Sus scrofa: one gene and its partner. The protein of the gene in region 1 interacts with the protein of each later gene in a biochemical or structural test. Links are inferred from orthologs where the notes say so. Each region holds a gene or a part of one and is shown in the gene's direction. Other genes may lie near its edges. The genes, in order: CABIN1 and MEF2D.

Region 1 (3,805 bases):
AAATCCTGGCAGGCCCACTATCTGTGAGGTGCATCTGAGCACAGTGCGGCTCTGGGAGGGGCTCACATGCCCCCAGAGACCCACACGAGGTTGCCTCACAGCTTTGACCCTTGACTTATGTTTTCCTGAGAGAGCCTGAGTGCCCACCCGGGGAAGGGGGCGCACAGAGCTTTCTGGATGGGAGTGGGCACCTGTCCATGATTGCAGTGTGTCTGGAGGGCTAGGGTGGGCCGGCCATCCCTGCCCCTCACACACTTGGCACCTGGTGCCTTGCAGTGGAGTGAACGCACAGGCAAAAATCGGTTCTGGAACTGGAACCAGCTGGGGTCTAGTCCTGGCTCTGCCACCTTTGCTGGATTCCTCAACCAGATTGTCGCCCTCCCTCAGATGTCCTGGTGTCCCCACTTCCACCACGAGAGTGACAGCTCTCCCCTAGAGCTGCAGTTGGTTTCCATCATCAGCATATGCTTGTTGTGCCCCAGCTCTGTGCCAGCCCCTCTGTGGGGGGGAGCAGTCGGGCCCACATGCCCTCGAGGCGTCCAGGGTGGGGGGGTTAGGAAGGCAGGTGCCCAGTACCATGCAGCAATTACCCTACTTGGCCTAGGGGGACATGGAGCAGGCTCTGGAGAACTACGACATTTGCACAGAGATGCTGCAACGCTCTTCGGCCATCTGCACACAACCAGGGGCCCAGCAGAGGGACATCGTCATCCGCCTGCCCAACCTCCACAACGACTCGGTCGTTTCCCTGGAGGAGGTGAGGGGGGTTAAAGGTGTTTTCTTGGTCAGAGGTCTGAGCTATCCATGAGGACTGGGAGAGCAGCCCACGAGCTGAGCAGGGTGGCCCAGGGCCCAGGGCAGCTCTGGGCCTCTGGGCACCTCGGACTTGCAGGTAGGCCCAGCTGGGGAGTGCATCCGGGGGCAGGTGGTGGGAGCAGAGTGAAGGTGTCTGTGGCAGGATGGAGAAGGGGTGTCATTCAGCTCCCTGGCCTGCGTGTGGCAGCAGCCCCAGTGGATGACAAGGAAAGCCCCAAAGAGGCAGCCAGTGCTGATCCAGCCCGGGTGCTGGCTCAGCGCTGTGTGGTTCTAATCCTGTTCTCACTGTGCAGCCTAAGACCCTGCGCCCACGTTTCCATGTCTGTGACATATCCACATGGTCTGAACATGGCCTTCAGATGCCTACAGAGGTGTTTTGGGGCAGGTCTGATTGCAGTACCCCTACTGCCTTTTCAGTGGGCCTTCTGTGAGGATGGGGTTCTCTGGGTCAGCCTCGGGCCTAGGGCTTGCTGGCTCTCTGGCCACCTGACACTCTGTATGTCCACGAGTCTAGTTTGCTGAACTGTGACCATGAGGCCATTCAGCTTCTTGGCAGACACTTTCTGGAACTTCTCTGCTTCTGGGGTAGTTTTGGATTTTGTGTGTTTGTTCTTCAAAGATGTAAGTGTCTTGACCTTAATAGAAATACTCTTTTATTTTTCTTTCTTTTCTTTTTTTTTCCCCCCTCAGGGCCACACCTATGGCATATGAAAGTTCCCAGGCCAGGGGTCGAATCGGAGCTATAACCACCAACCTACACCACAGCCATAGCAACACGGGATCTGAGCTGCCCTGTGACCTATACCTCAGTTCACAGCAGCACCAGATCCTTTAAGCCACTGAATGAGGCCAGGGATCGAACCCGCATCCTTATGGATGATAATCGGGTTCATTTCTGCTGAGCCACAATAGGAACTCCATAGAAATACTCTTTATGAAGCATCACTGTAAGCGTGCACCTCCCTCGGGTGTGCTAAACATAGGACACTGGCCGCACCCAGGGAGCCCATGCGGGGCTTGTCAGGCAGTGATTCTGGGCATTTTCCAGATTGACAAGAACCTGAGGTCGCTGGAACGGTGCCAGTCCCTGGAGGAGACTCAGCGACTGTACGAGGCTGGTGACCACAAGGCCGTGGTGCGCCTGCTCCGTCCCACCTTGTGCCCCAGTGGGTTCGACCGGGCCAAGCACCTGGAGTTCATGACATCCGTGCCAGAGAGGCCGGCCCAGCTGTTGCTGCTGCAGGTGGGTGTGGCCTGGGACCCCTTGCGCTCAGCCTCCTGCTTGGGGCGGTTTCTAAGGAGAAGTGGAGGAAATGCACCACCTCAGCACCAGAAAGACAGGTCAGAAGGCTCAGGGGAGTTGGAACCCAGGCTTGCAGGACTTGAGGTGAGCCTGCGCCTGCTCTGAATGCCTGTGCGGGAGACAGGGCTCTAGCTATCCGTCTTCCCTTTTGTTCACCTGCCTGGCTTTCATTCTGATCTATATGAGCTATCAGGTACATAGAAAAGTGGATGAGGTGTCTGTACGCTGCGAAGGGTCAAGGTAAGGTAAAGAGCCACGTAGAGTCACAGAGTTGGTGGAGAAGGATAGGAGTGTTGCGTGAGGCCCTCCTGCCCTCTCGGCTCCCTGCAAGCCTCCTATCCTTAGCATTAAACCCCGCTGAGAGCTTGCTGGGGTCTGGACGGTTACTTAGCCTCTCCCCTCTGGAACGGGAATGACCATGGTACTTGCCTCCGAGGCCTGTTGTGGGGATTTGTGAGTCAGTGTGTGTTGGCATCCAATCTGGTGGGTACAAGCCCTGGACAGGCTGGTGATCTACCCGCTACCGTCTTCAGCACTCGTGGAGTCAGATGTGGAGACAGACACAGATGATGATCAACAGGATGTGCTTAGTTGCAGTAGAGGTGCTGCTTTCTCCCTGTCCTTTATGTTTATTATTTTATTGGGTCCTTTCCCTTTGGTTTGGGAAGAGCCCCGTCTTCCCCAGGCTTTTTGCTTAGATCTTGTGAGACATTTTAATAACTCTTGAGCTGGGAAGTGGCTAAGAGGTGTGACTGGGAACAAGCAGAGGCATCTTCTCCCTGGTGAGGGGAGGGATGGGGTGAGGAGGAGACAGGAGAAAGGGCCAGCCCACGCTGAGCAGGGGCAAGACGTGACAGCCTCAGTGCCTGTGGCTGTGTGGGAGGGACACCTGGCATGTCAGGAAGACCAGCCCTCGCCTCTGCAAGCCAGCCCTGTGGCCCAGGTCATCTCGCTCTGTGGTCTGGAACCCCGGGCGTGGTGGGTGCCCCACTGTGGGAACGGGCTGCTGCCTGCAGAGGTGCTGGGCCAGGCCCAGGGCTGTGGAAGCTGCTGCTTTCTGCAAAAGTGATTCTTGGTTTTTGCTCAGTTTCCTCATGGGGGTGTGTTTTCTTATTGACTTGGTATGCTTTTTATATACTAGTCTTTTTCTCATCAAATGTTTTTTCCCAGTTTGTTGTTTGCTTTTAAATTGCAACTTGTGTTTTTTTGAATCTTTATGTCAGCAGACCTCTTGATGTTTTCAAACGTTGGTGGTTTTGTTCATTATGCTTAGAAAGCCTTTCCAAGACTAGAAGAGTGTGCTACCCTCCTGGAGCACAGTGACAGACTGGAGGTCCCATAGTGCCCTGGAGCTGGCCCTGGCGGGAGAGAGGTCGGCAGGGGGCGTGTCGATCGACAGGCAGAGCAGTGTTAGGTGTTGGGTTCCTGTTGGCATTTAAAGCTTCATGAGGCTTTTGTAGGGCTGGGGTCTGACTTGGACCCCTCTGCTCCTGCCCTGCCCAGACACGCAGACTCACTTTCCCCATGTGGACAAGCCACCTGCTGTGTTCTTCAATGGTTCAGTTTCCTTATGGTTGCATTGATTCTTGGGCCTAATACTTTGGGTTGCTGGTTTGAGCAGGATGTTTTTGCTGGTCATTATGTTTGGTAACTGTACACTTCTAGTTTACAGAACCCCTGTTGATT
Region 2 (3,805 bases), on another chromosome or scaffold:
TCCTCGGGCAGCTTCCAAGAGGACGGCTTCAGGTGGCCGTGCACGCGAGGCCAGGAAAAGTTCTCATCTGTGAGAATTATGGGTGGACAGGAGGTCTCTGAGGCGCTGCCAGCCCTGCCAGCTGGGGCTCTGGGCCCTGACTAGAAAAACTGGCTCCCCGAGGGCACGCACATGTGCGCCGGGGTGGGGGGCAGTGGGCAGTTGGTGAAGGGCAGCCCGCTTTTCAGGAGCTGCTGGTGATTTGAGAATTCCATGGCAGTGGTCTTCTGCCGTCTTCTCAGGTCCCCCACCGGTGTTTGTGAAGCAGGAGGGAGGTTAGTGGGTGCCAGTGACCCTGGGACAGGTGCTCAGCAAGGCCACAGTTTAGACTCTATTTGTCGATCTATTGTGATGGCAGATTCTGACCTGCCCTTGGAGCCCTGCTGGGAAGTGTTTGGGCTTTCTCAGATCCTCTTAGAAACCAGGGGCTCCAGTTCCTCTTGCTGCAGGAGTCGTTAAGCAGACCTCAGTTTAGAGAGCAGGTGTTTTCAGGTGACCCTATATATATAAACAAAACCCAACAGACGCATCGCTGTTTAGTCGTTCATTGTTTACAGTCCTTGGCCTCAGCCCAGGGGCCAGCTAGGTGGGAGTGATCTGCCTATGGCGATGCCATGGGTAAGGGACAGGCCCGGCCTCTTGTTTATCCTGGCTGCAGAGGTCTGCCGGTGGTCATTTTAGGAGCAGACTAAGGGGCCTGCTGGAGAGCCACATCTCCAGGTAGGCAGGCTGGAGTGTGGCGGGGAGGTACAGGACTAGGGGTCAAGTCCTTACCATTCACGGGCTGAGGGACATCAGGCAAGGCACTGCACTATTCTGGATTGGCTTCCTTGGTTGTAAAATGAGTGTTGTAAATAGGTAGTCTTGTAAATACAGGCATCTCCAAGCCCCTGGCTTTGTTGTTATGAGACCAGAGGCAAGCATGGACCATCTATAGAGTGAGATTTAAAGGTAAGAAAGAGGCCTGGGGGTCTTGTTTTAGCTCTGCCATTGGCTTTGTGACCTGAGGAGAGCTCCTCAAACTTGAGGCTGCGGTGACCTTATTTGTCATTTAATAACAACAGCAGCTGAATCTTTTGAATGTTTCCTACGTACCAGACAGGGCTCTACACACTTCATGTCTTAACTCACTCAGCCCTCACCACAGCTTTGTGTGCCGGCCGGATTATCGCCTCCGGGGTATAGACAGAGGCAGTAGCTTGCCCCAGGTCCCTTGGCCTCTAAGTGGAGGTGGCCAGGAAGTTTGACCCCATGGCTCATGCCCTTCACCTTACTGTTCTGTCGCACGCATGAGCCTCCCTTCCCTGGTAAAGACAGAGGGCTGGAGCGCACGGCCCCTTGGGGCTGAGCACGGGGGTGTGGCACCAGGACGACTGGCACGTGTGCCTCCGCGTCACATGGCAGTGCGACTGGCCTGTGTTCCTCAGGGACGACATCTTCTAAACTGTCCCACGCAGGCCGAGGTGTGAAACATAAGGGAGCTGTGTAAATTGGGAACCGTCTCACGGTTCTGTTTGTTCTGTGACCGTGCAAACATCACAGTTTCTTCATTAAGACAGGAATCGTAGGAAAGAAACAGCAAGCGCCACCTCATGGGGAAACCTGCCAGAACCTTGGCCAGTTGTGCCGCAAGCCCGTGTCCCTCTGCTCTCATGGGCCCTTCTGGGAGGCAGACAGTCGTCCTCTGTATGTGGGGGACGGGGTGTGCAGAGCAGCTGGAACCCTTGCTGTTCCCTGTTTTATGTGTTGACAGTCTTCAGGAGGCTGAGGGACTTTGCGGAAGGTGGGATGATGGAGGAATGGGCTCGGGGTGCGTCATTCAACCTAGCACTTGCTGCGACTCCCCTCTAGCTCAGAAAGATGCTTGAAGACTTGGCAGGTGAAGAGGGGACACTTAGACATAGATTCGATTTTCTCTACCTACCTTTCTTCCCCTTCTTTGTTTTTAAATTGACATTCCAAAAGTGATACCTACAGATGGTTAAAAAGAAGCCAAAAACTATTGTAAAAAACTACTTCTCTTTACATCCTGTTAAAAAGCCAGCTCCTTAGAGTTCCTGTCATGGTGCAGCTGAAACGAATCTGACTAGGAACCATGAGGTTGTGGGTTTGATCCCTGGTCTCACCCAGTGGGTTAAGGATCCGGTGTTGCCGTGAGCTGTGGTGTAGGTCACAGACGTGGCTCAGATCCTGCGTGGCTGTGGCTGTGGCCTAGGCCGGCGGCTACAGCTCCGATTGGACCCCTAGTCTGGGAACCTCCATGTGCCGCGGGTGCAGCCCTGAAAAGATAGAAAGACAAAAAAAAATTTTTTAAAAGCCACCTCCTCATAGTTACTAAGATTTGTGTTTCTTGGGGAGTTCCCGTCGTGGCTCAGCGGTTAGCGAACCCGACTGGCATCCATGAGGACACAGGTTCGATCCCTGGCCTTGTTCAGTGGGTTGAGGATCTGGTGTTACCGTGAGCTGTGGTGTAGGTCGCAGATGCGGCTCAGCTCAAATCTGACATTGCTGTGGCTGTGGCCTAGGCTGGCAGCTACAGCTCCAAATTGTACGGGCTTATGTAATTATTCACGTGTCATTAGCAACTGCCCCATCTTGACAGTCCTTGTGGGGCACGGCAGGAAGCTCATCCTCACTGCCTTCCCTTCCCGTCCGCCCCGTGCAGATTACCAGTTGACCAGTGCGGAGCTCTCCTCCTTACCAACCTTCAGTTCGCCTGGGGGGCTGTCTCTAGGCAACGTCACCGCCTGGCAACAGCCGCAACAGCCCCAACAGCCACCACAGCCGCAGCCTCCACAGCCCCAGCCGCAGCCGCAGCCCCAGCCGCCCCAGCAGCCGCAACAGCCACCTCAGCAGCAGCCCCACCTGGTCCCCGTGTCTCTCAGCAGCCTCATGTGAGTCCTTGGGGGCCGCCCCAAGAGTGTGGGGGAAAGAGAGTTGAGGGGCGGGAAGAGGAGGGCCTTCTTGAGAGCTGGGGGTCCCTTTGAGGTTGTCTGTCATCAGTGGACAGCACGGAAGCCACTAAGTGGCAGCCCTGGAGGCCCCTGTCCAGGCCTGGGAGACCTGCCCTGTGTCTTCGCCCCCGCCCCCTGCCCCCATCAGCCCTGGGGTGGGGGTGGGCCGGGGGCCCCTGGACTGCAGAAGGTGACACAGGATGGAAAGACAACTAATGTGACTTCTTTCCTTCTTCCCCCTCACTCGGCCCTCCCCCTCTTCTGGTCCCCCTGTCTGTCCCCTTGTCGCTCCCCTCCCCTACCCCCCTTCGTCTCCTTCTCTGTCCTCTCTCACTGTCTCGTGACCTCCTCTTCACTTTTTCTGTCACTCCCCTGCTCTCCTGTCCCCTGTGCCCCGTGCCCATCACCTTTCTCCAGCCCGGGCAGCCCCCTGCCCCATGTGGGTGCTGCCCTCACGGTCACCACCCACCCCCACATCAGCATCAAGTCAGAACCAGTGTCCCCCAGCCGTGAGCGCAGCCCTGCGCCTCCCCCTCCAGCTGTGTTTCCGGCTACCCGCCCTGAGCCTGGCGACGGTCTCAGCAGCCCGGCGGGGGGCTCCTATGAGACGGGGGACCGGGATGATGGACGGGGGGACTTCGGGCCCACACTGGGCCTGCTGCGCCCAGCCCCAGAGCCTGAGGCTGAGGGCTCAGCTGTGAAGAGGATGCGGCTCGATACCTGGGTACTGTAGCATCACCCCTCCTGTCCGCCGTTGTCTGCTACACCCAGGGACTGCCCCGCTGCCCCCGCCTGTCTCCTCTCCCACCCGA

What was found.
Region 2: the proteins of CABIN1 (region 1) and MEF2D form a complex in vitro, tested with the Homo sapiens proteins (2 studies listed by BioGRID). The link is inferred for Sus scrofa from reciprocal best matches to the Homo sapiens genes CABIN1 and MEF2D.

What each region holds. Positions count from the first base shown.
Region 1 is NC_010456.5:49,756,544-49,760,348, reverse strand, and holds part of CABIN1 (calcineurin-binding protein cabin-1), read left to right. Parts: intron 1-604; coding exon 605-757; intron 758-1,864; coding exon 1,865-2,059; intron 2,060-3,805. UniProt on the Homo sapiens protein: May be required for replication-independent chromatin assembly. May serve as a negative regulator of T-cell receptor (TCR) signaling via inhibition of calcineurin. Inhibition of activated calcineurin is dependent on both PKC and calcium signals.
Region 2 is NC_010446.5:93,609,031-93,612,835, forward strand, and holds part of MEF2D (myocyte-specific enhancer factor 2D), read left to right. Parts: intron 1-2,704; coding exon 2,705-2,933; intron 2,934-3,410; coding exon 3,411-3,717; intron 3,718-3,805. UniProt on the Homo sapiens protein: Transcriptional activator which binds specifically to the MEF2 element, 5'-YTA[AT](4)TAR-3', found in numerous muscle-specific, growth factor- and stress-induced genes.